Pelodiscus sinensis: one gene and its partners. The protein of the gene in region 1 interacts with the protein of each later gene in a pairwise test. Links are inferred from orthologs where the notes say so. Each region holds a gene or a part of one and is shown on either strand. Other genes may lie near its edges.

Region 1 (7,687 bases):
CCCTCACTTATGTACCACCCATCAAATGACATTAAAGGTTTAATGCCAATCTGATTACCACACTGCCAACTTCTTAACATTTCTTGGAAATTTCACAGCAAAAAGCAACAGAAAGGCTACTGGCCAAGAAGTGCCCCAGTTAGAATGGCACAAACATACCCCTATTAATATTTAAATATTAGGGTTTTCATATTGAATTGATAACACAAACACCCTCAATTTGTGGAGAAATACATGCTGAAAACATGACACTCATGAATATGTAAAGCATAAACAATTAATGTTCTGTTAGTAACAGCAAAGAGCTGACTGGGTGTGGCACATCTTTTTTTTAAAAAGTACTGCTAAATTATCAGTACTTAGCAAGTAAAATATTTTTAATCTATGAGGCTGCTTGTCATGTGCCTTACTTCTCGTTTCTCATGGAGGGAGTGTGTATTCTTGAGCCAGGATGTAAGGAGACTCACAAAGGTTTATAGTAGTCACTTGATGGCTGAAGAAAGAATTCCCAGGAAGCTAGGATGGCACATTTGAGAACAGGAGAGGATGCCAGTACAGTTAGCCCCAGAAATTCTGTGTATGTGTGTGACCCCTGCATCCTATTGAATCAACAAATGAAGTGAACTATAGTGCAAGACTTGGGCTGAAAACATTTCCATAGCTCAAATATGTCAGCACTGCTTGCTTGACAAAGCTGCAATGTAAATAACAAATTAAGGCCTGAAGAAGGGCAGCAGAGAGGTCCAAAACCCCAAAATCGCTTAATTTAGATTTAAACCATATTCCATTACTTGAAGACACTATCCAGAATAAAGATACAGCACCATTTCTTTATAAAACATCTCTTCACAAAATATTTTGCACCATATTCTTCACCATGGGATACAGTTAATTCCACTCATTTGATTGTGCCCTACGATAGGAGACTCGGACACTATACTTTGCAACTTTTTCACTGTTCATCTGTACATTCAAATGCATCAGCATCCAATATAACTATTAGTTTTTAGAGAGTTGTGAGCTAGATGGTGGGAGACTTAAAAATATATAAAAATACAATTGATCAAAAACGTTTTCGTAGCAATTAAAGATAGAAAAGACCTAGAAGGTTTTAGTGGCTCTATCAATGACAAATTTGTTCCCTACAGTGTGTGTGTGTGTGTGTGTGTGTGTGTGTGTGTGTGTGTGTGTGTGTGTGTGTGTGTGTGTGTGTGTGTGTGTGTGTGTGTGTGTGTGTGTGTGTGTGTGTGTGTGTGTGTGTGTGTGTGTGTGTGTGTGTGTGTGTGGATATATATGTGCTTAACCTGTCTAGTTTTAAAGAATTTAAACAATGGGGTTTCCATCATGTTCCTGGGAAGACTTTTCCCCTGGCCAAGGGAGGTGGTGGAATCTCCCTCTCTGGAGATATTTAAGAACAGGTTAGATAGACATCTGTCAGGGATGGTGTAGGTGGAGCTTGGTCCTGCCTTGAGGGCGGGGGGCTGGACTCGATGACCTCTTGAGGTCCCTTCCAGTCCTATTATTCTATGATTCTATGATTCTATGAGTTTTCACCTGATGTTCCACTAAAATTTTTCATTATTTAATATCATTCTGTAACTCCTAGTTTTAACTCCTCATATCTCCTACATAATTTTTCTTCCTGCAGAACAATGTTCCCTCTAAGATTTTTCATCAATGTGCAGAATAAATGTTGTTATATGCACCAAGGCACGTGCAGTTGTGTACCACCAATAGAAACACATGCTGCTGGCTGTGGTCAGCTGTTAGCGCTCTGCCTGTCAGCTGGGCAGCGCCTGAATCTCCCCTGGGTAGCCACCCAAGCGCTCAGCTTACAGGGAACACTGCTGCGGAGAGCCCATCCTTCTAAGGCAAAATTCCCATTGACTACAAATGGGACTTTTGCAGCAATATAACACAGAATCTGATTCCTGTTATTTATACCCTTCAAGTAATGGCTGACAGCTACTACATCTCACTACAGTTGTCGTTAAGCCAGTTTCTCTCTTTAGGCCTGATCCTGTGCCCATTGAAGTCAATGACACTGTTCCCATTCATTTTAATGGTGAAATTATTAAACTGAAGCCTGTTCTCTCATCCAAATCATAGAGGGTTGTGCCAAGAAGCAGGAGCAAGATTGTATGTAATTCAACTATTCTGGTAATATTCTATTCTATCTACTTTAGGGATGTAAAGGGTTGACCTGGTAAACATGTGCTTTACCAGCATGCTTATTGGGGTAACCAGTTAACCAGTGGGAGGTTCTTCCAGCCGGGTTTGGCCCATCCAGAGCAGATCCCCTGCTCACAGTGAGGTGTGGTGGAATCGTCCTGACCTGGCCAGAGCAGCCCCCTGGAACGAGGTGTACAGATAGTGCGGAATGGCTTGCTAGTTTGAACTATCTAGCCCGTGTCGCGTGTAGCCGCGCGGCACGGGGTTCGAACAAGCCGGCATTTAAAAATGGCGCCAGCCGGCTTATGCAAATGAAGCCCGGGAAATTCAAATCCCGGGCTTCATTTGCAAGTGCGGTATGCCTACATTACCCCGCTAGTTCAAACTAGCGGGGTAGTGTAGACATACCCTATTTTTCAGTATTTGTTTCATGTTTGATAGCCCTTCACATAGAGTAAGTGTGACTTTGTTTTAGCTGATGTGCAGGAGGAATCAGCACAGGGATTCTCTTCCCTGCTTAAGTGCAGCCACCAGAGACTCTGGGGCTGTGTCTAAACTGGTAAGTTTTTCCTCAAAATCATCTGCTTTTGCAGAAAAACTTGCCAGCTGTCTACACTGGCCACTTGTATTTCCGCAAAAGCACTGACGATCTCATGTAAGATTGTCAGTGCTTTTGTGGAAATACTGTGCTGCTCCTGTTCGGGCAAAAATCTTTTTCTGAAAGACTTTTGCACAAAAGGGCCAGTGTAGACAGCTCAGATTTCTTTTCCGCAAAAAATCCCCGATCGTGAAAATGGCGATCGGGGCTTTTTTGTGGAAAAGCGCGTCTAGATTGGCCACGGACGCTTTTCCGCAAAAAAGTGCTTTTGCGGAAAAGCGTCCTGCCAATATAGACGCGCTTTTCCGAAAATGCTTTCAATGGAAAACTTTTCCGTTAAAAGCATTTCCGGAAAATCATGCCAGCGTAGACGTAGCCTGGGTGCCTGTGCCAGACCAGTCATTCTTTCTCCCCAATTTGGATCACCACAAGCAGTAGCTCAGCTTATGCACAAGCTTGGTGAGAGCAAAGAGGCCTGTGAACACCACAAGCTAACTGAGAACACACCCAGAATGAGCACAGCCAGTATGGGGCATGTCTCAGACATCAGCACTCGGTTTGGCATTTGCTTAGTTCACTCCCCTCTGCACACGCAACTGGTATGGCACAGCATGCATCATGACTCCCAGAGAAAGGGAGTCTGCTTTCCTCCTTAAACCCTAGCCATGCTCCATCTTGCACTTGCCCCGAACCTGGCCTCCCTGTCTGGGCATGAGACCCTCAGCTTTGTAAAGCACATAGATACCCCTCCCCACAGTATGAGAGCCAAGGCAGAGAGTCTAGATGCTATCCACAGGGCAAGGAAAAGGCATGCAAAATGTTCTGGCCCCTTTTCTCTAGTCCCCTCCTCAGTGACTCCTTCCATGTCTGAATCTTCTATTTCACCCTCTCATCCCCTCCTCTCCTTTGCCTAATCCTCCCTGCCTCTTGCTTACCCTCCTCTGTTCTCCCACCCTGCCACCTAAGTCCCTACTGACTCTGCCTCTTACTGACAGGGTTGCCAACTCTCCGGGAGACTCCCAGAATGGGTACCCATCTCCTGGTGACTATTGAACCATAGAGTAGATTTTCATAGGGGCTGCGTCTAGACTAGCAAGTTTTTCCGCAAAAGCAATTGCTTTTGCGGAAAAACTTGCCAGCTGTCTACACTGGCTGCTTGAATTTCCGCAAGAACACTGATGATCTCATGTAAGAAATCAGTGCTTCTTGCGGAAATACTATGCTGCTCCCATTCGGGCAAAAGTTCTTTTGTGCAAAGCTTTTGCCCAAAAGGGCCAGTGTAGACAGCTCAGATTTGTTTTGCGCAGAAAAGCCCCGATTGCGAAAATGGCGATCGGGGTTTTTTTGCGCAAAAGCGCGTCTCAATTGGCACGGATGCTTTTCCGCAAAAAGTGCTTTTGCGGAAAAGCATCCGTGCCAATCTAGACACTCTTTTCCGCAAATGCTTGTAACGGAAAACTTTTCCGTTAAAAGCATTTGCGGAAAATCATGCCAGTCTAGGGTGGTTTAAGAAAGCCAGGTTACTTCATATGGGGGGGGAGGAACAAGTCTAGGAGTAGCTTCAGTCAAGAGTTGGCAACCCGACTTACTGACCCTTCCCCCACACCATGCCTCCTACAGACCCCCATCTGTTCTTTGTGCCCTCCCCGCCCCCGCCTCCCCCAGCCTCCCGCCCTGACCCCTCATTCCGAGCCACTGGCCCCCACTGCAGAGCGCCCCGGCCCGCCCGCAGCCTTTGTGAGCAAGTCGGGCAGGGAGTGGAGGGAGGGACCCCGGCGTCCCGGCCCGGCCCCGCCCGGCGCGGGGGAGGGGGCTCTGTGCCGGGCGGGGCAGGGCTGGCTGGCGGCAGAGCGGGCCGAGCTCGGGGCGTGGCGGGGGTATAAATACCGCCGCGGGCAGACGCTGCCGCTCTCCTTCGCCTGTCGCTCTCGCAGCCGGACCCTGCACGCCTGGGATTACAAAGCTCCGGCCGGCCGCCGCCATGAGCACTACCAAGACCTCCTCGTACCGCAGGATGTTCGGGGGCGGCAGCCGCCCCAGCACCTCGGGCAGCCGCTACGTCGTCTCCTCCAGCCGCTACTCGCTGGGCAGCGCCATCCGCCCCAGCAGCAGCCGCATGGTCTCCTCCTCGCCCGGCGGCCTCTATGCCACCAAGTCCTCGGCCCTGCGGCTGCGGAGCAGCCTGCCCCCCTCGCGGCTCCTGCACGACACCGTGGACTTCTCGCTGGCCGATGCCATCAACACGGAGTTCAAGGCCAACCGCACCAACGAGAAGGTGGAGCTGCAGGAGCTGAACGACCGCTTCGCCAACTACATCGACAAGGTGCGCTTCCTCGAGCAGCAGAACAAGATCCTGCTGGCCGAGCTGGAGCAGCTGAAGGGCAAGGGCACCTCCCGCCTGGGGGACCTCTACGAGGAGGAGATGCGGGAGCTCCGCCGGCAGGTGGACCAGCTCACCAACGACAAAGCCAGGGTGGAGGTGGAGAGGGACAACCTGGCCGACGATATCCTCAGGCTGCGGGAGAAGTGAGTGCCACGGGGCGGATGGGTGGGGAGGGGGCGCCCAACCTCGCTACTTCCACCCAAGAGCTGGGGGGAGGGTCGAAGATGCAGTCGGTACCCTCAAAGTGTGAGAAACTTCCTCCCCTGCGCCTGAGAACAGCTGGAAGCTGTTCTGAGGCTTCAGCATCAGGGAGGTGGCGGGAGCGCACAGATCCAACCCACATGGTTAACTAACGGTTTGGGCACGCCTGAGCTAATTTACCACCGTGAGCCAAAACAAGGCTGATGTGTATTAGTCACGGGCTCTTCTAGTACAGATTAAAGTTCAGGGAGCAGGATTTCGTGGAAAACCATCACGAGTGGTTACCATCGTCTGAGAATCCCAAAGTTCAGTCTGATATTTTAAGACCATGCAGTCAAAAAAATTACAAAAGTTAGCTTTGCCACTCATCTGAGCCCTTAAACTTAATTGTGTTGCTCGGAGACTCTTACAAGTTTTTGGTGGCTTTACACACCAAAGTTTTGAAAGTCAATCAGCTTCTTTAAATATTGCTGCCTAACAGAATTTGAATTTACCAAAAGAGGGTTTAAAATCAACCCAAATCTAGGTCAGCCTCTTGTTGCTCATTAGCTGAATAAGCATTAACGGTTTTGGCACTGCTTGTGTTAGGCTGTCTGTGGATTTCAGACTGCTGCAACAGCAGAAAGCTGCAAAGCCCAGTCATGCAAACTTAATAAAGAAGGCACAGACCAGAAAAATGTCAGAATGAGATGCCTTTTCTGAGAGGCCCCATCTTCCCCCTCTGGGATGTTGGCTGGGTGTGGCTACCAGCTGGATTTTACCAGATCCTAGTGCTGAGGTTCTCTTCTCTCCTGCCCCCCACCAAAGTTAATAATCTATATGGTACTATTTTCAGGTTGCAAGATGAGATGATTCAGCGAGAAGAAGCTGAAAACACTCTGCAATCTTTCAGACAGGTTTGTAGTAATTTTTGTATATTAAAATGAGTGCACTGAATGTAAATTCAAATGTGTAACATTGATATAATGTTGGATGTAGGGCCACCTAGTGGTAAAAAGCAACTTGTAAAATTGCAAGACTTCTCTCAGTACCTCCAGGAAGTTTATCAAGGGATCTGCCATTCCTTTAGTCTAGACAATGCTAAAATTAGAAACAGTTAAGTTTTAAAGTAGCTAGAACATATAGCAGGTCTGATTTTTGAACAAATTTGCAATGAACAAATTGAAATAGAAATGTTGTCTTGTATGAATAGGGATAATGTCTGACCCATCATGTGAAACCTTAGCAGCAAATATGCAAGATTTGAGGGGCTGGCTTTTTAGTCAACGTGCAAGTTCACATGTAATAACTACTTGTTTTTCGGTGGGGTGGGGGTGATGCCTACATGGGCAAGGGAACTGCTATTGTTGGCTTTGTCCAAGACTAGCCAATTCTACAAAAGCACTCCAATGTAGAATCACTTTCTGATCCAATAAGGGTGAAAGGGAGCCATCTGCTCGCTTGGCTGAAGGGTATTAATGGTTTCTATGGGATTCACTATGGAATGCAGATACAGGCATTATGGCAAGTGTGGTGGCAGCAGATTGAAATAATAGAACTCTTTGTATTGAAGAGTGGCTTGCTGTAGGCTGCATTCTTACTGAATGTGTAATGATGTAAGCGTAGTTAAAGTTTTATAACACCAGTTATTTTAGATATGGCCCGTCTTGATTCAAAATACCTACTACAGGAAGAACTTGCCTCAACATATGAGAATTTTTTCATATTAAGGTTTTTCTACTTACAAGTCAGATAATGCTGTCTTTCTTGCTGTGCCCACATTTTAGAGGGAGGTCATGACCAGGGATACTAGTTTTCCATGATAAACCCAAAATTCTGACTAAAACCATGAATCTGCAATTAAAATGAGATGCTAGCCTTTGGTTTTCCTAGCCACTATATACATCCATTGAACACAAATTATGATTGAATTCTGAGTTTGAAAACTGAGTGCCTGCTATAAATAATAGAAAGTTAATAGAATTCCAAATTTTTTCTTGAACATGCTGATACATGTGTACTTGATATAATAAAGCTTATCCAAGCTTCTATTATCCCGTTTACCATCTTAACCAAATTACCAGCAGCCTGAAGCCAATTGTCTGAGCCCTCATCTTAAAATAGCAATATTCTTTGCCAATTCTTCTAATATATCCACATTTTTGATTTTCTGATCTGCCCCAAACCCCAATTACATTAAGTAGGGTTTCACAGTGTGATTTACATTCTGTCAAACACTACTAATGATTCTAACTCCCTTATCTGTGCCTCAGTTTACACATTTTACAGCTGTGGGGAATAACTTTGTTGGTAAAGTTATTTGAGAACTACTGTGTAAACGCTACCAGAAGTGT
Region 2 (7,305 bases), on another chromosome or scaffold:
TCTGATGTATTTAAAAAAATTAATTTTTGAGTCTTTTGCTAATTGCTCTTTACATTCTTTCTTGGTTTGCCTAATTATATGTTTACACTTGATTTGCCAGAATTTATGCTCCTTTCAGTTTCTCAGTAGGATTTTACTTCCAATTTTGAAAGGATGCCTTTTAGCATCCTGCTGCTTTTACTCTGCTGCTTAGGAAGGTGTCATTTTTTTACTCCTCTTACTGTTTTGTGTTCATTTGGGTTATATATTTAGTTTGAGTCTCTAGTATGGTGTTTTAAATAGTCTCCATACAATTTGAAGGCATTTTACCTTTTAATTTCCATTCAATTAGCTTCCTCATTTTTTTCCCCCTTTTTGAAATTATTACTGAAGTTGTGGTTACACTATTAACGAGCACGGACAAATAGGCTATAAAAAGAGGACACTAGAGACCAAGGACTGTCATTGTTTGGCTTGCTGGAAGTAAGCATGGGTGCTAGCCCCAGAGAATAATCTCACCGAGTTCAGTGTCTCAGCAAATCCCACTTTGGCCAATAAATAGCAAGCTCTTGACTTTGGGACAAAAATCAGAGCAGACTATAATCAGAAAGGAGAGGAAACCTCTACCCTCCATTTACCAGAGGGCTAGAAAAGAAGGTGTTTTCCAGAAGTAATGGCACTGAATAAATGAACTATTTTCCTTACAGCACTTAACATGTAAGCTAACTGGCTAAGTATCAGGGATGGAACCATAAGAAAACTATTTGTTGCTCATTAATGAAATATTTTCACCACCAATTCCATCACTAACCCAGCAAAATAACACATGCGCTCCTACAGATCTCCAAGCACTTCATAAACATTGTGACAAGTCTCAGAGGAGTAGCTATGTTAGCCTGTATCTGTAAGGACAACAAGGAGTCCTGCGGCACCTTGAAGACTAACAGATTTATTTGGGCATAAATCCATGCTTCTGGCGAAGTAGTTTTGACCTACAAAAGTTTATGCCCAAATAAATCTGTTAGTCTTAAAGGTGCCACAGAACTTCTCATCGTGTTTTCATAAACATTAAGCTTTTGCCAAACTCCCGGGAACCAGACATATTTTTACGGGTGGGGAAACTGAGGCACTGAAAGGCAAAGTGACTGGACTGCCGTGAGTCAATGTCAGAGCCAGGAACTGAGCCCACAAGCTTTAACTCAGGTCTTTGCTCTGGTTGCTAGACTACACTGCTTCAGTGACTAAGGATATTTCTTCATTCGGTGCCCTTACCTGAAATCAGGGATTCCTGAGGCTGTGCTGATCCCGGCTCCTGTGTGAAATACTACATTGGAAGAGCCCCTGATCAAGTCTGCTAAGGCACACACTTTCCTCTCCAGCTCCTCTGGCGGGTCAAAAATCTGAGGGGAAGGAAAAATTGAAATGGAGAAGCAGGGATAAGCGTCCCGCCAGCCCAGCACGCGGAATGGTGGATAAGCAGTTTCACCGAAGCCACAAAGCTACCTGGCACACCAAAAAACAGGCTAGAAGTTGACACAGAAAAAAAGCACATTAGCAACTGGGTCGCACAGATGCAGCGCTGGCGGCCAGAACTCATGGCCTGCCACTGGCCGCTCAGTGGCCTCAGGATGTTCCAATTTAAACCTCACATCTGCTTCAGGGAGGTGAGGAGTCAGCGTCCCTTAGAGGCAAAGGGGGGGGGGGATTTGAGGGGAAAGGGAAACTCCCTTGCAGGGGTGCATAGGACCCCGTTGGTGGGGGGAGAGGGAAGAGGAACCGTCCCCAGGGGAAGGGAAGCACCCTGGGCGGAGAGAGGGGAAGGCAGGGCTCCAGCTGGGAGGGTGAGGACAAGGGGGAAGCACCCAGAGGTGTGTGAAAGGAGCGCAGGGTCCCCCTTGAAAGGGAAGGAGGGGAAACACCCCAAGGGACGGACGTACAGGGCCCCTCTTGGGGGGTTGAGAGGAAGGCGCCCCAGGAATGTGAGGGGGGTGCAGGGTCCGTCGGGAGGAAGGAGAAACACCCCAGGGGAGGGCATGCAGGGTCCCTGTCGGGAGGGGGCGAGGGGAGCGCCCCAGGGGGGAGAGGAAACACCCCCAGGGGAGGGCATGCAGGGTCCCTGTCGGGGGCTGAGAGGGGAGCGCCCCGGGGGGAGGGACATACACGATGCCCGTGGAGGGGAGGGGGAAGCGCCCCAGGAATGTGAGGGGTGCCCCGGGCCCCCGAGGGGAGGGGAACACCCCCAGGGGAGGGCGCGGAGTCCCTGTCAGGGGCCGAGGGGGGAGGGGCACGCACGGTGCCCGCGGAGGGGGAAGCGCGTGGCGCTGGGTGGGGGGAGGGGCGCGCAGGTCCCGCCAGGGGGGGGAGACGTGTCACTGGGGGAGAGCGCAGGACCCCGGGGGGGAGACGTGTCGCTGGGGGGGGGGGAGCGCAGGACCCCGGGGGGGAGACGTGTCGCTGGGGGGGGGGGAGCGCAGGACCCCGGGGGGGAGATGTGTCGCTGGGGGGGGGGGGAGCGCAGGACCCCGGGGGGGAGACGTGTCGCTGGGGGGGGGGGGAGCGCAGGACCCCGGGGGGGAGACGTGTCGCTGGGGGGGGGAGCGCAGGACCCCGGGGGGGGAGACGTGTCGCTGGGGGGGGAGCGCAGGACCCCAGGGGGGGGAGACGTGTCGCTGGGGGGGGAGCGCAGGACCCCAGGGGGGGGAGACGTGTCGCTGGGGGGGGGAGCGCAGGACCCCAGGGGGGGGAGACGTGTCGCTGGGGGGGGGAGCGCAGGACCCCAGGGGGGGGAGACGTGTCGCTGGGGGGGGCCGCAGGGCCCCGGGGGGAGGCCCCGATGCTGGGCGGGGGGGGCTGCTCCTTCGCGCTCACCTCGGGGAGGCCGCACTTGCCCTTGTCCGAGTAGGGGGAGAGCCCGGCCGCGTAGTTCACCGACATCCTCCCGCCGGCCCCGCCGCTACCAATAAAGTTTCCCTTGTTGTCAATTCCTCCAGCGAAGGGCGGAAACGGCCGGGCAGGGCCGACTGAAGCCGCCGCCCCTCAGTCCGCATGCGCAGAACTCGGAGGGGCGCGCCGCCCGGCGCCATATTAGCTCCGGGCAAGCGCTCGCTCCACCAGCTGGAGCTCAGGCGTGGCGCCTCGGGCAATGGGCTGTGCCCTGGCCTCGGGGGTGCGGTGGGGGGCGCCCCTAGGGCACAGGCCCGCTCTGAGCAGCGCTGCCGGCCCCCAGGGTTCAAAGATCACCAGCCAGGCCTCACTGGCTGGGGAATGGTGGCTCTGTCGCTTTTTAAATAACACATTTTTGGTTATTTTGCTGTGACTCTGGTTTTTTACCTGGGGCCCGGGCAGGCGCCTAGGCCACATGTTCTAGCTTTTCCTCCCTAATCATGAGGGCTAGAATGTAAAAACACACACCATGAAATCAAAGATTCCCACACAAACACTTGCCTCTGGGAACTGGGGCTTTAAGAAATCATAGAACCGTAAAAGCGACGAGGAGTCCTGTGGCACCTTATAGACTAACTGAAGTGTAGGAGCATAAGCTTTCGTGGGCAAAGACCCACTTCGTCAGATGCATGTACATGCATCTGACGAAGTGGGTCTTTGCCCACGAAAGCTTATGCTCCTACACTTCAGTTAGTCTATAAGGTGCCACAGGACTCCTCGTCGCTTTTGCAGATTCAGACTAACACGGCTACCCCTCTGATACATAGAACCGTAGAACACCAGAAGTGGAAGGGACCAGTCCCCTGCCCTCATGTCGGGGCCAAGTGTCATCTAGATCAGTGTTGTGGGGTTTTAGATGCTGCTTGTAATTATTAGAACTGGGAGCACTGGCTGTTGGGAATCTGGAAGCCCAGGAAACAGGAAGGAGGGGGGAGGAGATGGGCTAGGCCTGAGTGAGAGCTACAGAGGGGAGCAGCAGCAGCTTTGTGAAGAGGTTTCACCTTTGTTACATAAAGGCCTATTGAAGTTTGTTACTACTTTGCTTGCATGATACAACAAGTGTTTTCAACTTTTTTTTATAAAGTACCCCTTTTAAAAAAAAATTATAGTTTTCAGGACTATGTAGCACTTTAAAGACTAACAAGATGGTTTATTAGATGATGAGCTTTCGTGGGCCAGACCCACTTCCTCAGTCTGGCCCACGAAAGATCATCTAATAAACCATCTTGTTAGTCTTTAAAGTGCTACATAGTCCTGTATTTTGCTTCAGCTACACCAGGCTAACATGGCTACATTTCTATTACTATTCCAGTTTTCAGACACACATAATTTTCTTCCACCGTTGCAACACATTTGTTTGAACAACTTAATCGTAGCCAGGCAGGCAATGACATTTTTGGGTGTAAAAAGTACAAAATAATAAAGCGCTGTAAAACTTAAAACAAAAAAATCAGCTTTCTTCAAATTTCAGTTGTGTTGACTTCTCTCGAGTACCCCTAAGGGTACTTGAAGCAAAATGCAGGACAATGTAGCACTTTAAAGACTAACAAGATGGTTTATTAGATGATGAGCTTTCGTGGGCTAGACCCACTTCCTCAGATCAAATAGTGGAAGAAAATAGTCACAACCATATATACCAAAGGATACAGTTAAAAAAAATGAACACATATTTGTACCACTGGTTGAGAAACATTGATCTAAATCATACCTGATAGTTGTCTGTCTAACCTGCTCTTAAATATCTCCAGTGATGGAGATTCCACAATCTCGCTGGGCAATTTATTGCAGGGTTTAACCACCCTCACAGTTAGCAAGTTTTTCCTAATGTCCAAACTAAATCTTCCTTGCTGCAGTTTAAGCCCATTGCTTCTTCTCCTATCTTCAGAGGCCAAGGAGAACAATTTTTCTCCCTCCTCCCTGTGACATCCTTTTAGATACCTGAAAACCACTATCATGTCCCTTCTCAGTCTTCTCTTTTCCAAACTAAACAAGCCCAACTCGTTCAATTTTCCCTCATAGCTCATGTTTTCTAGACCTTTAATCAAATACCCCAACTATAGCAAGATTTGCAATAAATTCTCCAGCATTGGCTTCACTGCCTAAGGGACTCGTAGGATAACTGGATGCATTTAAGGGGTGCCTGTGGAATGTAGCTACAAAACCCTAAAATGTATCTTCTGAGATCCTAAAATATGGCCTTCATGTTCTCTCTGAATAACCATATGGTGAGGGCAAAGATGGTTATCACTGTTGGCCTTCTCAAACTCTTTCTAGACATCTCCCACGGACAATGCAAGCACACGCAGAGGTCCCTCAGGCTACGTCTACATGGCAGCATTTTGTCGGCATAGGAAATGCAAATGAAACGCTCATTAGCATTTCTCATGCTGTCATTTGCATAGTCTCTTCCGATCCTTTTTGCCGAAGAGGTTTTTGTGGAAAAAACTGCAGTGTAGACGGGGCCATTTTGTGCAAAAAAAACCCTTTTGTGCAAAATCCAGTATACCTCCTTTTTTGAGAGAGAAGGGATCTTGCACAAAAGGTTTTTTTTTCGCAAAATGGCCTCGTCTACATTGTTTTTTTCCACAAAAACCTCTTCCACAAAAAGGATCAGAAGAGACTATGCAAATCAGAGCACGAGAAATGCTAATGAGCGCTTCATTTGCATTTCCTCTGCTGACAGAATGATGGAGTGTAGATGTAGTCTCACTATAATAAAGTCTAGGCTCTTGTGTGTTTTTCCCATCATGTTTTCCAAGAGACATTTTTACTGTACCTGTTTGGTGGGGAATGTACCTCCTTGTCCAGCTACAAGATGCCCAGCATGCTATAGTTGTTATAGGAAAATAAAATAAAATAAAATAAAATAAAATAAAATAAAATAAAAACATGAGCCACAATCCTGCAAGAAACTCTGTGTTGGGTGTACTGAGGTCCATCTGCATAGTCATTAGTACAGAAGAAGGGCCATAGCATTTATGGTTGCCAGATGGTCTCCCGAAAAATACCGGATACGTGGAATTTTTTGGTCGAGCAAAAAAAAAACAAACAAACAAAAAAGGAACGTGGGATAATAAGCCCCTCCCCCCTCGTTCTTCGGTGCCCAGAGCGGCGATCACAACCCCGCCTCCCAGCTGGCACTCCCAGGCTGGGAGGCGGGGCCATGATTGGCACTGGGAGCCTGTGATTGCGCAGAAGCCTTGCGGGGGCGGAGGCAAGGCCTCTGAAGTGCCCAGAGCAGCGATCGTGGCCCCGCCTACCAGCTGGGGGTTCCCACCTTCCCACCTTCACAGGCACCTAGCGCCGATCATGGCCCCACCTTCCAGCCACCCCACCTCCCCTCGCCCATGCCTGGCTTCTGTCTGGTGCACAGCTGGAAAAATCAGAGAGTATTGGACATTGCACATGTCCGGTATTCTCTGATTTTTTTTTACCGGACAAAGAGCACAAATACTGGACTGTCCGGTAGAATACTGGACACCTGGCAACCCTAATAGCATTGTTTAGTGATTACGACCTAGAGATTATGGGACTGGGGATCAGGATAGTTGAAAACAAGCAGCCAGGCAGGTGTGTGGAGAGCTGAGCTGTGCTGAGCACTGGTGACATAACTGGGCTAGGCAGGATGAACAGGGTTCGGCCCTATGTAGAGAAATACATTCAGCTCTGTCAAGTGCAGTTGTCACCTTCCCGTACTGAGCAGCGACCAGCTTTGGCAAGGTAACTGTACCTGTAGCAGGTGAGTAACTTAATTCCTATCGCAGTTAAGTCCCACCCCTTGGCTATCCTCATTGGTGGATTCACCAGCTGGCCCCCACTGGGCCACCTATCGTAGGGTGAGATTCCTTCAATTGAGACTGCAGTAAGGAGACACTTCTCAGTTTGTTCTGCCTTGGGCACAGAGGGAAGGAGCCCTCCCGGCTGAACTCGGCTCTATCAGCAAGGTAGGGAAGAGGGTTGGGAGGGAGTGATGGAAAGGCCCCAGGACTAGGGGAATAGCCACCCCATTCTGTCCAGCCCTCTCAATGCGGGATTCACGTATTTAAGACCAGAAATGAGGGAAGCTTCTGCTCCCAGAGCTCAGTGACTGTTGGGTCTAATATATGAAGCCATAGATATGACTGTGCCGCAATTCATGTCCCCATTTGACATATCCTGAAAGGGACATTACTGGGAATAGCAAAGAGGCAGCATGCCCTAGGAAAGAGAGGATGGTGATGCTAAAGAGGCAAGGCCAATAGGCCATGATGCATTGAGTTGGAGCCTGTCCTGGCTGGTTATCTTGATGCAATAGAAAGCACGGCCCACGCAGATTTAACAGTCTAGTGTGGGATGGGGAAGTGAAAGTGCTGCCTGGTGCTTAAAGCAGAGGACTCAGAATCA
Region 3 (6,878 bases), about 52 Mb from region 1:
TAAATAATACACATGAGCATGGACTTTAATTTACAGGCACATGACATTCTGATATTTTAATCCAATAGCACCTTCAGTTTGGAATCTCTCTACATCATTAAGGTCACAACACAGTTCCCATTGCAAACCCCTTTTTTCATCTCCTTTATAACATACAGCTAAAGACATTACCATGTGTTAGCTTAACACGAGGCAAACTTAAACATGATTCATACATGAGAAGCAGAAAGAAAAGCAACTAATGAGGGAGTATGAACGTATAAATTAAAGTAATGCCCTTACATACTCTTATTCCTTGCAGCCTTTCTGTGTGTACATAGCCCCAGATTAGATTCCATTGGACCCACTAACCAATAACATCAAGAACTTAACACTTGGCCTCTTAATTTTAGTCATTTAGTGTTATCATTATGGGGCAGTAAACATATTTGCATTTGATAATACAGAATTACTTTGTTCCTCATATGGAAGTTGAGTGACGAATAAACAGTGGTACAAGTATGCCATACTAGCAAAATATTTTTAGCCAGCATAGCAAACCAGAAAGACTCCCTGCTGACCAACCCCGACCCCTCCACTGGCTGTGTGCGTACAATTCTGCAATCTGGGGGGCAGGGCTGAGAATGCTTTGGCAGCCAAAGGAGCTGCCAGCATTCTGCTCCTTCCCCACTGCTCCTCCTGATGTAATTCCGAAATAACATAGTTCGTGCCTACACAGCAGGCAGTTATTTTGACAATGTCAAAATACTGTGAAGCTGGAGGACTTCTTACTACAACTCCGGTAACTCTCATTATACTAGGAATAAGGGAAGTTGGAAGACGAGTGCTCTAACTTGGACTAAGGATTTTAGTCCAAGTATTAAGTATTGGACTAATCGAATAGTCGATGAAAAAATGCATCGACTATTCAATTAGTCAATAGGGCGGCGCTGCCCCTTTGAAACGCTGCTGTGGCATTTCAAACGGGCAGAGCCCAGGGTCAGCTGAGGAGTCCAGATCATTTGTGCGGCACTACCCCAGATTTCCTCCCGTTGTTGCCTCTATCTAATGAAGGCAGCAAGGGGGAGGAAGCGACTAATTGATTATCCTGTTGACTATCTGATAAGCAAATGCAATGACTCTTTAACATCCTTAAATTAGCTTCCTGCCGAAATAAGCTGTTTCAACTTCAGCTACGCAATTGACATAGCTCAAGTTGCGTTGCTTATTCCAGCTTTAGCCCTGTTGTGTTGACATGCCCTACCTGTGTTTAAAATAGACTGGCAAATTTCACTATTTTTTGTGAGATGAAGAAAAGGGGAAAGAACAATTTCCCCTTCATTTTAAAATGTTTGTACTGGGAACATTGGGACGGGAAATGGTAGAAAATTGAGGCAAATAAGGTAAATGCCTAATTTTAGATATTTAATAAAGGAATATAGAAAAGAAAGAGGAAGTAGCTTTTGTTTCCTACTATGACTCACAAAACAAATGGGTCAGCATATGGGTGACCAGAAAGCTAATGTAGGTGAGGCAACAAATACTTACGATGATTCAGAAGGAAACATTGCTCTCTTTGAGTCATTGGTAAATCAAGACCATAGTAAATCAAGATGCATCTGAGGAAGTGGGTCGTTGCCCACAAAAGCTTATGCTCCAATAAATCTGTTAATCTATAAAGTGCCACAGGACTTCTCGTTGTTTTTCCAGATTCGGACTAACACAGCTACCCCTCTGATACTCAAGACCATAGTGTAATGACAAAAGTTAAACACAAAGTTTAAAGAGAAGCTAGATAATTTCATGGAGGTTAGGTCCATAAAAGGCTATTAGCCAGGGGATAGAAATGGTGTCCCTGGCCTGTTTGTTAGAGGCTAGAGATGGATGGCATGAGACAAATCGCTTGATCATTGTATTCGGTCCACCCCCTCTGGGGCACCTGGCGCTGGCCACTGTTGGCAGACAGGCTTCTGGGCTAGATGGACCTTTGTCTGACCCAGTACGGCCGTCCTTATGTTCTAGGGTGATAGACCTGGTGTCCAGGCAAACTTCCAGCTCTAATAACTAAATTCCACATCTCTATAGACTCCTTCTAGTTTCAATGGGATATTTCATTCTAAACTATTGTGAATGGTGCTAGGTGCTATTAAGCAAGGTCATTGTTCACAAAGATGAGTGAAATGTTTCCTAAGTATCCTTTACCTTCCTCACAGAAGTGTTGTGTGGTTTGGTTAGGTTATGTAACATGTTGAGATTCCTGAATAGAAGGCGCTATGGAAAAGTTGGATAATATATGTCATGAGTCCAGGGATTCAATTTTAATCATTTTGTTGGTCAATGTAAGGTGTTGCCTGCTGTGCAAGGAGATGTTGTAATTAAAACCCCATTAGGACTATGACAATCAAATTAACCTGCTGGCTATCTTCCATCCTCCCTGACTGGGCTGGAGAGAAAGGGTCTAGACAATAGGTCACTGAACTACTCAGGCTAGTAGAAAGGTCCATCATCACCAGTGTACAAGAAAAATAAATAGGCTGAGGTTAGAGAGGGAACAAGCTCAGGAGGGAATCACAGGCCTGCACTATACCTAAAACTTGGATCTATCTACCTAAATGCCAAATGGCCAAATAAGCTATTTCAAAAGAGCATCAAAATAAGATATACAACCTGCATAGCTCAAATTGCATATCTTGTTTCAAGTTACGGTGCCGTGTAGACACACCTTACAGCAGCAGGACAAGCCTGTAATGTATATACCAGGGGTGGGCAATAATTTTTTTCCGGGGGACACTTCAGAAATTTTTGAACTAGTCCCAGGCTGCCCCAGAAGGGGTGGGGCCTCTGGCAGAAGGGGCAAGGCCAGGACCCTTCTGAGTTTCCCCACCCACAGACCCTGATGGGTCAGGGGAGGCACGCACACTCTAGGGACCCATGACCCTGGCTGTAGGAGGCAACTTTGCATGCTTCCCCCCACCCCCCAGGAAGTCTCTTGCTCCCTGTCCCAGTCCTGCAAGGGAGTGCAGCAGTTAAGAGTCAACCACCAGCTGAGCAGCAGCTGATGGTTGACTTTAAGTCCTGAGCCCCTTGCAGGGCAGGAGACTTCACTGCTCCCCCACCCCCAAACCTTGATAGGCCTGGAGGTGGGGGGAGCAAGTGAAGTTCCTGCCCCCATCCTGCAAGGTGCATGCAGTACTTAAAAGCTGCACCCCTCGCAGAGTGGAAGGAGACTCCATCTGCTTCCCCCTCTCCCCCAGACCCTGAGTGGCCTGGGGGCAGTGATGAGGGCCTCCACGGCCAGTTCAACTTCCTTGGTGGGCTGAGTCCAGCCTGCAGAGGCCCCTTTGCCTACCCCTTGTATATACTGACACAATTAGGTCAATGTTAAGCTGCTTTTGATCAACCTGAGTAATGCAGACCAGTTCCTGGATAGTCTTCCATTCAACCCCCTTTCTTTTGAAAAAGGATTTCTCCTGCTCTCTGGCTATGATGATTCACGGTTATGCAGAGCGGGGAAAGGCCAGCCAGAGTGTCTCGGTCTGTGCCCAGCCACGCTGATGGGTCATGATCTGTCTGTTCCCGGGTTTGTACAATGGGAAGCGCGGCTGCCCCCTGCCTGGCTGGACTGCGGAGCGGAATGTTGCAGCCCAGACTCTGGGCAGCGCGCGAGAGCTGCGCAAACACGCGCGCGCGTGCGCGCGCTCGCACAGCAACGTCCGGCTCGCAGGGTGAGCGTCCCGCTCGGCCCCTCACGCGCTTGCACGGGAGAGCGGGCCTAGGCGCGTGGGCTGCCAGAACCACCTCGCGCAGCCGCGCTGGGCGCACTCGCGCGCTCACACGGTGCTCATGGCCGTGGGGGGGAGGGGGGGAGTAATTGGGTTTTGGACGCAAAAAGGGCGGGGCGGGGCGAGCGCTCGCTGGCAACGCCCTGTTGTCATAGTTACTTCTCCCCGACACACCCCCAGCCCAGGCTTATCAAAGCCCGTGGGAGGCCGGGGCGCGGGTATCGCAGCCTCAGCCTCGATCTCGGTGCTGAGCAGAAAGGCGACGCCAACGGCCGCGACTTTTAAGCCTCGAGTGCGCCCTTACTAAAGATGGCGGCCGACCCCCCCCCCCCCCCGCCGCCGTTGCCGCAAGCGGGTTGAAGGCAGGCAGCCCTCTCTTAAGATGGCCGCCGTTTCCTTACACCCTCCGCCCATGCGGTGAGTTGGGGGGGGGGGTGTAAAACAGGCCTCCCTTAGCAAAGATGGCTGCTGTTCCCACGAGGCTTCCAAAGGGTGTGAGGGTAGCCTGCCCTGAGTCAAAATGGCCGCGCGCCGTGCTCGAGGTGCGGCGCGAGGAAGGGTAGCTGGCCGCTAGCCCGGCCAGGAAAGCGGTGAGCCGGGGCGGGGGCAGCAGGTTTGAGCGAGGAGGGGCTGGAGGGAGCGAAAGGTCACTTCCGTCGCCTGCCAGGCTGGCTTCTTGCGTTGTCCCAGAAGCAGCCTGGGGATCGGGGCCCTGGACTGGGATTCGTGTTTCTGTCCTTCAGGTGTTGCCCAGGGGTCACGGCTGCTTATTGTTTGGGGTGTCTGGACCCTGTGTCACAGTGCGCTCGGGGGGGGGGGGAGGGGAGGAGTTTGTTTTTGCGCGGCAAGGTCTAATTTTTGCTGATTCGAGAGGGAATGGAATTGTGTCACCCGTCTCTGAGGGGTAGTCGTGTTCCTCTAACACTGGGTAGGTTTGTGGCGCTTTAGTATCTATAGTATCATGAGCTTTCCTGGGCAAAACCCACTTGGTCAGACGGTTCTTGTGACGTAGGGGGGGTACTTGCTGGGCTGTGGTGACCTCTGCTGTCTGGAGCAAGACCCAGCAGGGGAAACCTCACTATGCAAAGGTGATGCCAAACCGGTTGAACCATGGAGAGGAACAAAGGAAGGTGGAGGCTGCCCTGGCTGGGGGGCAGGGCTGGAAGAGAGTGAGTTTAGTTGCTGTCTGGGAGCATGGAGGAGACAGCCTAGGGAAAGGGGCTAGAGTTTAGGGGCCCAGTCTCCCCCCATCTCAAGGGGGCCTGAGGCATCCTAGCCCAGCTCTGGGACCAGATTACATCTGTGCTGTGCTGTATCCTGGAGAGGCAATAAACGTCCTCTATTCCACCGGCTGGTGCAGTCTGTTTGTGCCATTTCGGGGTGCAGGAGACGGGGGACCCCCCCAACGCGCCGTCACAGTTCTTATCTGGCCAAATGGGTTTTCCCAGGAAAGCTCATGATACTATATACATATTTGTGTTAAAGTGCCATGGGACCTACTCGGTTTTGTTGTATCATTAGGTATTTCATAGACACAGTGCTGGGTACAAAGTGATTCTGTTCTAGCCCCAGTTTCCACTATGATTTTCACATTGATTATTCAGTGAATAGTATTGTTTCAAATGTTCTATGCTGCAAATTTAATAAATCAATGGCAAGTAGCATCAGAAGCGCCCCCACATTGGCTGTAGGCACTGTGCACTCCACGTGGACAATTCAAAGGCCTCATGATCCCTCATACAGTCCCTGTGAGCTAAACCATGGGCTCCATGACCAACTTGTGGCATTAGGTGGTCCCTGGGGACTGGCAGTGGGGAAAAACCAGACACAAATATGAGTGTTGGTGCCACCTCTAGAGAATTTTACCATGTGCTATCCTTCTAATTGCTGGTCACCAGATTCCTGAGGCCTGCCTCCCCCTGCCCCTCACCCTGTCCCTGTTGTTCCCACCTCCCCACTCTGCTCTACCTCCACCCTCCCACCCCAAAATGGGCTCCCTCTGCTCTGGAGCCAGGACAGGAGCTGCTGCAATATGACCTGTATTGGACTTATTTTCTTCCTATTTACATGCTCTTTCCATCTGCCCCTGCATATTTTTACTAGCTTTTCCCATTTTGGAAACTGCTGTAAAATTACCCAAGGACCAACAAAAGCAACAGAGGGTTAGCTGAGTTAGTTTGTAACAGGAAAAACTTCTAAAAACAACAAATAGTCTAGTAGCACTTTAAAAACTACATGTTTTGTTAGTCTTTAAAGTGCTACTAGACTATTTAAGTTTTTCCAATAAAAATAAGTCATATAGTAGTAGTGGTTTAATTAAACTGTAATATTTGGTACTCATATATCACCTTCCATTCTGTGATTTGAAAGTGCTTTACAAACATTAATTCCTTACACCCGATAATTAAGTGAGGTGGCAATATATGTATTATCTGTGTTTTCCAAATGAGGAAACTGAGGCATAAATAAATTAAATGAGAGCTTGGAGATGTATGTGACTTTGATCAAGAACCAGGATTCTTGGATCCCCAGTTTTGCTAGTCAACCACTAGACCAGAGGTGGCCAACCTGCGGCTCTTCACCCCTGCAAGTGTGGCTCACAAAGCTGCCCCATGCGCCCCTACAAATGGCCCCCAGCTGCCCAGCCTCATTTTTTGAGGAGTACAGGATCTTTCGAAAAAGGGGGTTTTTTGAAAGAACCAAGTCTAGACGGCGGTGTCACTTTTCGAAAGAACACTATGATGTGATTATGCAAATGAAGCATAGGATATTTAAATCCCCGCTTCATTTGCACTTTCGATCTGCCTAATTTACATCCCTCTTTCAAAAGAGGGATGTAGTTTAGACATAGCCTATATGTGTGTCTCAGTTATTGGAAAAAACAACCAAAAAATTGAGATGGCTGAATTTATGACCTTGTAAGGTTCTATATGAAAAACATAAAACTAGAATCTCTGATTACTGAAGTTACTTTTCCTCAAAACTTGTACTTGTAAAGCCTGTGGTTTTAACTTGATGCTCAGGAGGAAGAACGGCTCAGATTTTCACAGTACTAGTTTGTATCATATATACTGGAATCCTTATTACTGCTGCAATGTCGTGGATGCAAGCTGCAGT
Region 4 (7,641 bases), on another chromosome or scaffold:
GGCTAGAACACGGTCCCTTGGACCACTTCAGTGTCTCTGCCTCCTCTTGATCTCACTGCCCTTTGACCGCAGCTGGAGAAGTCCCAACGGCCTTGGAAACCTCGCACCACGCTGGTGGCAGAGAGCTCACGAGCAGCAGGTGGAGGGACAAACTGTGCCCTCTGTGCGGGGGTCGGAAAGGCAGCAAGCGGAGGCCATAGATAGAGATTTAAGAGGGCGGGGATGATGGGTTGAAGCAGGATCCCTCAGAGGACTGGGTATAACACCCCCCATTTAGAATAAAAATCCATGCTGGTGGCCTTGAAGGTAAATCTGCAGCCACAGCCAGCACGGAGCCAGCGTTGTCCCTGCTGAAATGAGGCTGTAAGAGCTCAGTTCCTAAGACCCGCGTGCTTCATTTGTCAGTGGTGAGAGCCAGCAATGGAAATAAGCGAAGTGAACACAGATGGCCAGCGTGGGGCAGGCATTGCCGTGTATGTTCGTACAGCCCCTAGCACAGCAGGGCCTCGTCTTCGCTGAGGTAAATCCTACAGCTCCTGCAATGACGGCTGCAGAGCTTCACTGACTCACGCCAGCGCAGGGATGCCCCTCGGTGCCCAGAGGGATTCACGTGGACGATCCGGACTGAGAAACCGACACCTCCGGGTTGCCCAGCTCCAAGGAGGGGAGCGAATGGCCAGGCTGGAAAGCGGAACCTCAGCACCCGGGGGATTGTGGAGCCGGTGCCGGAGGGATGGGTTTGCAAAGGGGCTATGAGGTTTTCCTGAGCGTCCAGGACTGAACGTTCGGAGCAGATTCTGATCTCATTGACACCACTGCAGAGCCAGCTCCTTTCTCGGCATCCCTTGTGGCTTGGGTCTAGTTTCCTCCTGTCCCCTCCCCTCCCCTCCCCGGAATCATTTCTTTCCTTTCCACCCCCATCCCTAGAGTGGCAGCACCTCCTGCTATTTGTCCTGCTCCCCTCAGGTGGGCGAGCAACGTCACCTCCCGCTAGCACCTCAAATCCCCCCTTTCACTGCAAAATGCTGGCTAATGAAATGCTCTCTCCCCAGCTAGCCACAGCTGCAAGCTGCACTGTGTCACTGACAGCCCGGGGGGGATGGGAGAGGGACAGCGCAGGCTGGGGTGCTGGGAAGGACCTGGATCAGGAACCCCGAGCAGCAGCTCTGGGGGCAGTAAACCAGCGTGTGGCACGCTCATTTCGCTGCTCGGTATTGCAGCTGCTGCTGTTTATTTACTGAGCACAGGCCCGCTGAGAGGGGGACAAAGGGGACAATTGCCCAAGGGCCCAGTGATTCCAAGGGGCCTAGCACTGTTCTTATTGCCACAGCCCTAGACCCTTTAAATCACTGCCGGAGTGCTGCACCACACGCTCCGGGCGGCTCAGAGGTCTGCAGGAGGGAGGGGACGCCTATGGTCCAGGTGGCACTGAGGGCTAGTTGCTCCAGCCCCTCCCCTTCTGCCCAAGGCCCCGCCCCTTCTGAGAGCACAGAGCTGGCCCCTGTGTGGGGGCCATGGAGGCTGTGGGCTCCCCGACTGAGCAGTAGGGGTCAATGCTGTGTCTTACGGGGGAAAGATGGGAAGGCAGATCCTTGGCTGGTGTAAATTGTCCTAGGCCCCAAGGCGCAGCATTTACTCTGCTCTAATGAGAAACACAGCATTACTAACGCATTGGCAAGGGACCTGCCTTCCCCCTCTCCCACGGACTGCCTGGCAGGCCACGGACAAGGGACTTAGGCCCAGCTCCTCCCAGGTTCGTCGGTCCCTAACTTCCACTGAAAGCAGCCAAAGACTTGGAGGCTTGGGCCAATTTTTGCTCAGTGATTCAGCTGAGATTTTCACAGCAGACTTCAGGGTTTGGACACATCTCCTTCACCTGCCCTTTTCCTGGTCATGCCTCCTGCAGATCCTGGGCCCCTGGAGGCCGCTCTGGGGTCCGGAGAAGAAGGGGAAATGGTGCAATGGAGTTAGTTGATGCTCTCTTGCATGTGTGCAGAGAGACAGGCGGGCCAGTGATAGGGCACTAGCCAAGGACTTGGGAGGAAGGGGTTGAGTCCTTGCTCCGCCACAGACTTGCTGTGTCCTTGGGCAAGTCACCTAGTCTCCATGTGCCTCAGCTGCAAAGCTGGACTATGCAGCTAATAGTGCTGGGAGGAGGGATACATGAAAGACCAGGAAGCGCAATGGTGTAATAGACGGCTCAGAGACTCCCCTCAGTGCACAGCTCCACACCTTGCACATGGAAAGGGCAGCCATGGGACAGCCTTAGGCTGCATTTTTCCAGCACTGGGCACCGCAGGGACTGCGTGCCAAGGTTACGCACGTTCCATCAGCCACTGGATTAGGGATCAGCTGTGGGTTTCAGGCTCACAGCCAAGCTGGGTTTAAATCATTAATTAACAGAAGTGTTAAAAGAGACCATTGCTACAGCATAGAGTCACCTGTCAGCACATCCAGGAAGAACCCCAGGGCTCTCTTAACAGGATGAGAATTAAATTCAAATCAACAGGCAGCCCTTTGGAGCTCATGTTTCCCTGCAGAGAAATGAGCTGATAGCTAAACAACCCAGCCTCCTTTTGCCTGGCAAAGTCATTCATTATCCCCTTTCTCCCTGCGCTGACATACTCCAGCAACAGACAGAGGCGGGGAGAATGCCTGGGCTGCCTTCCGCAGCTCTCTGCTGTAGATGATTGGCAAGGCTGGGGAAAAGGAGCGGACTCTTTCTGCTCTTAGAAGACTCCCCTGGAAAGTTTGATGAGGAATTTGACACTAGGGCTGGGGCCGGGACCGTGAGCTTCTACAATGAACGAGAATTGGGCCCTTTACGTACACGTCTACATGGCAAAACCCCCAGAAAAACAAAGCCACTGTGGCAAGTCTCAAGCTATGGTGCTAAAAATAGCCATGTAGATGTTCCAGCTCAAACTGGAACCCACCCTTGAATGCCTACACGGCTGGTTCTGGTGCTGTCTTGTAAGCCCCACAAGCCCGAGTCTGTAGAACCGAGCTCTGAGCTCACTGCCGTGAGGTTTTGGGGGTGTCATTATACTTTATGATCCCTCGCAGTTGCCCCCATCCACAACCAGGCCATGAGGAACAGACCGGGTAAGGACAGATTCTCAGCCACTCTGCTCCTGGTGGGTGTCCAACTTGCCCCCACATTGGCCTGATCTTCAGAGGAACTAAGCGCCCGCAACTCCAGCTGGACTCAGTGTGCCGTGCCTGCTGTGCCTCTCCGAAGCTGCCTCTGCCCGTGTCTCACGCCCAAGCACAGAGGCAGCTGAAGACCCCTCGCCTCTTTGGAAAAATGTCTCCATTGCCGATTTGCCCTGTTACACTCTGCCTCAAAGGAGCGATAGCACCCAAAGCAAGCCCTGTGCCTTGCTCTAACCACTCACCTGCTCTGCCTTCAAGCAAACCGCCCTGACCGGTTTGAACACTTGCATCCTACACAGCGCCCAAGGAACAGACCTAATTCTGAGCTCCTGCTCACTGGGGCATGCCGGATGAACAGCCCTGATTTCAGAGGTGTTACAGCGTACAGGATCAGTCGGCCGAATCCTGCACTGACCTGCCCTCAGGACATAACTAGCGCTGGATTCGGCCCTGGTGAGGGCTACACAATTCTGTAGCCATGTGTTTAGTCTCACATGGCCACAAAGCCCAAACAAAAGAGTTGCTCCTAATTGCTCAATTATATACATGCCACATTGTGTGGAAGCACGACCCGGTGATCAGTTTCCCCATTTTTCGGTTGCCCTGTTAGAGCTTAAAAACAACAATGATCCTGTAGTACCTTAGGGCATGTCTACACAGCAGCGTTATTTCGGAATCACTGAGGTGATTCCGAAATAACATAATCTGCGTCTATACAACAGGCAGTTATTTCGACATCACGTGGAAATAATGTCTTACTCCGACTCCTGTAACCCTCATTTTACACGGTGTAAGGAAAGTCAGAGGAAGAGTGCTCTAACTGCTGTGTAGACCTGCCCTTTGAGACTAACAAAAATATATAGATCGTATCATAAGCTTTCATGGGCACATTTTGACATTTCCTTTTCTTTTAAGGCTTTAAAAAACTCCGCATCGGAGTGAAGTGTTTCGTTTTGGGTTGAGTGAAAGATTGCAGTCAACCGGTAACTTGTTAAGAAATGAGAACGGCCACACTGGGTCAGGCGCATCCTGTCTTCCGATGGTGGCCAGTGCCATGTGTCCCAGAGGGAATGAACAGCGATAGGGAATCATCACGTGATCCCACCCCTGTCAGCCCTTCCCAGCTCCCGGCAAACAGAGCTTATTTTCCCAGTTTTGCAGGGTGCCCCAGGAACGGAAAAATAATCAGATACACGACTGTAATGTGCACATTCGGCTGGACAGTCGCTCCCTGCCTCTGGTAACAGGCTGGAATGCTTCCCTCCTGTGAGGGGCTGAAGTAAGCCCCAGCTGTCCCTCGCACAGCGCACACACGCAGAGCCTGATACTGCTCGTGGTCCCTTGGAGTAACCTCTGTGCTGCTCCCAGCGAAAGCAGGCTGGGGAGGTGCGTGTAGCTCCGCCTGTGTCAGTGACATGTGCCGTAGGTAAGCACCACCTTCTCTGGGAGAGCCCTACCCCGCTCAGTGGGAGAACTCACACCCCTGGAGCAGGCACAGAGAGCAGGGCTGGAGGCGGCTGCCGGTTTCCCTGTCCCTTCCTTCCCCAGACGAGCACTGTACCTGCAGGATCTAGCAGCAGCCTCCTTTCGCCAGCTGGCAGCCAGCCCTTTGCATTCAGGCAGCTGCTAGCACCAGGGAAATCACCATGAACTCTCTCTTCAGGAAAAGAAATAAAGGGAAATACAGCCCCACGGTGCAGAAGAAGAGGTGAGTACTCCGGCTTCCTTCCTACGGGGCTCTTGGCATTGCCAGCCTGCAAGACTCAGGCTCTCCCAGAGCTGGGTAACCACACATTCCTAAGTGGCAGAGAAACAAGGAGCAAAGGGATCCTTGGAGAAAGCAGAACAGAGCCACTCTGTTGTCAGGCGTCAGAGTAGAGGCCGGAGACAGGTGCTAGCAGGACATGAGAGGTGCCAAGGACACAGGCACGCAGCAGCGAGCAAGCAGCTTTCCGGAGGCTGCACCGGGCTAGGACAGGCGAACGGGTGCTGCTGTTTCCTTTGGCTTCCTGGCTTTGAAAAATTGTGCAGGTCGGGGTTGTTGGCACATTCCAGAGTGTAATCTCTCCGGGGAGCGGCCGCACGGCTCGGCCTCCCCGTCCCCTTCCTCCGCGCAGCGCTGCTATGCGCCTTATTTACTCCCCCTCCACAGGGCAAACGCCAAGGCAGCAGAACATGTCTCGATGCGTCCTCATTTACACAGCAAGCCCCGCTGATTTGATAAACAAGCATTAATGTATTCCATGCACAGGGGACCAGAGCCAAAGGGAGACGCCCACCGGGGCGCTGGGCCAGCTCTGGCCAGCGGGCGAGGGAAATCAAGAGGCAGGGCCGGTCGAACGCTGCACGGGGCTACCGGGGCAAGTGCTGCAAATGTGAGGTGGTCCCCAGAGGGAAGTTTTGAGGGCCCAATCCTGAGAGGGGCTGAGTGCCTTCAAGCTCCCATTGATTTCAATAGGAGCTGAAGGGATCAGACCCTAAGCCCTTGGCAATGCGCCTGACTAGCAGCATCTATTAGCAATGAACTGTGTCTGTTAGGACGTACTGGGACCCTGTGGTAAACAGGCCTGTGGAGGGGGCATCCAGTCACTATGGGGCAGGTGATTGTCCAATAGGAGTGCTAAGGGCCAGCAAGGGTAGAGAGCCAACCTGTTGCTGCCACCCAGGGATGGGCCCAGCTGGGCTAGTGATGGAGACGGTTTCTTCAGGAGAACAGATGGCACAAAGCCCCAGCCACACCAGCTTGCTGGACTGGATCTGAGGCTCTTTCCTCCGTGAGGTCTTGTTAGCTAATCTTTCCCAGTCTCCTTTGGGGGAGTTTCTCAGCCCACGTGCCGGGATTCCCAGCAGGTCCAGAGTTTATCCCATCCCCTGTGATGATCAGGCCCTCTACCGCAGGGCAAGCCTCTTTCGGAATGTTGATTTTGGGGCAACAGATGAATGACATCTGCCAGGACTTAACCCCACCTCCGCTCTATTACTCCTTCCCCAACTAGGATCCCCCACCCAACATTCCCTGTTGCAGGATGCCTGACACTCTCCACAATCAGCCCCACCTTCTGCTCCCACCTCCAGGACTTTCTCCTCCCTCACTGTCCCCCTCTTTGCTAACAACGCTCACTCTCCTTTCTCCTTACATTCTCTCTCCGACCTCCTGCTCCTCCAGGAGCTCAGGGGAGCCTCTTTTCTCCCCCCACCACCTGCATCCCTGGGCACGCTCAGAGTTTCCACGCATTCGGCAGATGCCATTCTTGGTTACAAACCCCCCGAGTAAACTGAAAGTGAAGTTGGCCCGATTCCTCGGCAAAGCTGAGTGGAAACTCTTTTGCTGTGTTCAGAAAAGTGACTGTTCTTGGAATTGTTAAGGGTTCCCCTGATACCCTCCTTTTATGGAACGCTGGTGAGGTCCAGCAAGCGCGGCGTCTGCATGGGTGGGTTGCTTTTTTAAAGGGTCTGTTCTGGAGAGGCATCTAGGGTGGAGACTTGGAACAGCCCTCTGTGTTTGTGTTATACTCAGCCTCGTTCATTAACTCAAACACACCCACTTCAAGAGGAATGGGAAGGAACCAGCTGGAAAACGCATTCTTGGCTGCATGAGTTACACCTCACCCCCGGAGGTACCTAAAGGCCATGGCTCACCAGGTGCTAAGTTATAATATTAATTAATATAATATAATATAAAAGGAATCAAGACAGAGTCAAGCAAGAAAATGGAGTGCGAGGGGTTAATATTTCCAACAGGCATGGGGGGGGGGGTGTTACACCAGCAAACATGAATTGCAGGTGCAAACAGAGTACTTGCACCTCTCGTGATCCCGATTTGCCTACACATGCGGGTAATCAGAGATGGAAAGAACCACATAGCTGAACTGGGGGTCCCCAAACGTGTGTGGAAATGGCACTGAGAAAGTAAGCCCTTGCTTTGTGCTCAAGTGAAAGGCAGCAGCAGAGATTAGCTGATGCAGCTTTGGAAATGTAAATGAAGCACAACCTCTCTCTGCTGGTTTTATTTTTCTCCTGAATTGATGATGGACCTGTAACCCAGACACACTGGCTGGGTGGGGCACACAGTCCCATTTAGTGGCACTGAGTCCACTCCCAGAGAGAAGACAGAGTCTGCTCCACAACCTTAGTGGAGCGCCAGAATCCACTAAGCTCCAGTGGTCCCGGGTTCCATCCCAGCCGCTGACGATTGGGGTGTGCCGGCATGAAGAGCAGCATAGGCCAAGTGGAGAGGATCTCAAGGAGAGAAGTGGACCTGCCTGAGTGGAAGGGACAGGAGATGGACTTGGAGAAAGTGTGTTGTTCTGGGGATGCCAGGATACTAGAGCTCAGGGTCTGTGAGCTAATCAACAATGGCCGTTAAATTCCTCTGGGGCTTTCGTAGGCTGATTGCTACTTCTAAGGTTGAGGAAGGCAAGGTGACATTTTTCCTTTTCTATTGAAATTAACCCTACACTGGGCAAAGTCTGTGCTGTTAGCTCA

Evidence for each region.
Region 2: the proteins of VIM (region 1) and SIRT6 interact in a two-hybrid assay, tested with the Homo sapiens proteins (2 studies listed by BioGRID and IntAct). The link is inferred for Pelodiscus sinensis from reciprocal best matches to the Homo sapiens genes VIM and SIRT6.
Region 3: the proteins of VIM (region 1) and YAE1 interact in a two-hybrid assay, tested with the Homo sapiens proteins (2 studies listed by BioGRID and IntAct). The link is inferred for Pelodiscus sinensis from reciprocal best matches to the Homo sapiens genes VIM and YAE1.
Region 4: the proteins of VIM (region 1) and PPL interact in binary tests that used the Homo sapiens proteins (3 or more experiments, as listed by UniProt). The link is inferred for Pelodiscus sinensis from reciprocal best matches to the Homo sapiens genes VIM and PPL.

Annotation. Positions count from the first base shown.
Region 1 is NC_134712.1:218,778,056-218,785,742, forward strand, and holds the start of VIM (vimentin), read left to right. Parts: upstream 1-4,667; 5' UTR 4,668-4,751; coding exon 4,752-5,296; intron 5,297-6,189; coding exon 6,190-6,250; intron 6,251-7,687. UniProt on the Homo sapiens protein: Vimentins are class-III intermediate filaments found in various non-epithelial cells, especially mesenchymal cells. Vimentin is attached to the nucleus, endoplasmic reticulum, and mitochondria, either laterally or terminally.
Region 2 is NC_134729.1:22,247,252-22,254,556, forward strand, and holds the start of SIRT6 (NAD-dependent protein deacylase sirtuin-6), read right to left. Parts: upstream 3,008-7,305; 5' UTR 2,914-3,007; coding exon 2,848-2,913; intron 1,380-2,847; coding exon 1,252-1,379; intron 1-1,251. UniProt on the Homo sapiens protein: NAD-dependent protein deacetylase, deacylase and mono-ADP-ribosyltransferase that plays an essential role in DNA damage repair, telomere maintenance, metabolic homeostasis, inflammation, tumorigenesis and aging.
Region 3 is NC_134712.1:166,988,170-166,995,047, reverse strand, and holds the start of YAE1 (protein YAE1 homolog), read left to right. Parts: upstream 1-3,871; 5' UTR 3,872-4,178; intron 4,179-4,199; exon of another isoform or gene 4,200-4,351; intron 4,352-4,370; exon of another isoform or gene 4,371-4,504; intron 4,505-6,784; 5' UTR 6,785-6,855; coding exon 6,856-6,878. UniProt on the Homo sapiens protein: The complex LTO1:YAE1 functions as a target specific adapter that probably recruits apo-ABCE1 to the cytosolic iron-sulfur protein assembly (CIA) complex machinery. May be required for biogenesis of the large ribosomal subunit and initiation of translation.
Region 4 is NC_134726.1:5,917,325-5,924,965, reverse strand, and holds the start of PPL (periplakin), read left to right. Parts: upstream 1-4,634; 5' UTR 4,635-4,802; coding exon 4,803-4,864; intron 4,865-7,641. UniProt on the Homo sapiens protein: Component of the cornified envelope of keratinocytes. May link the cornified envelope to desmosomes and intermediate filaments. May act as a localization signal in PKB/AKT-mediated signaling.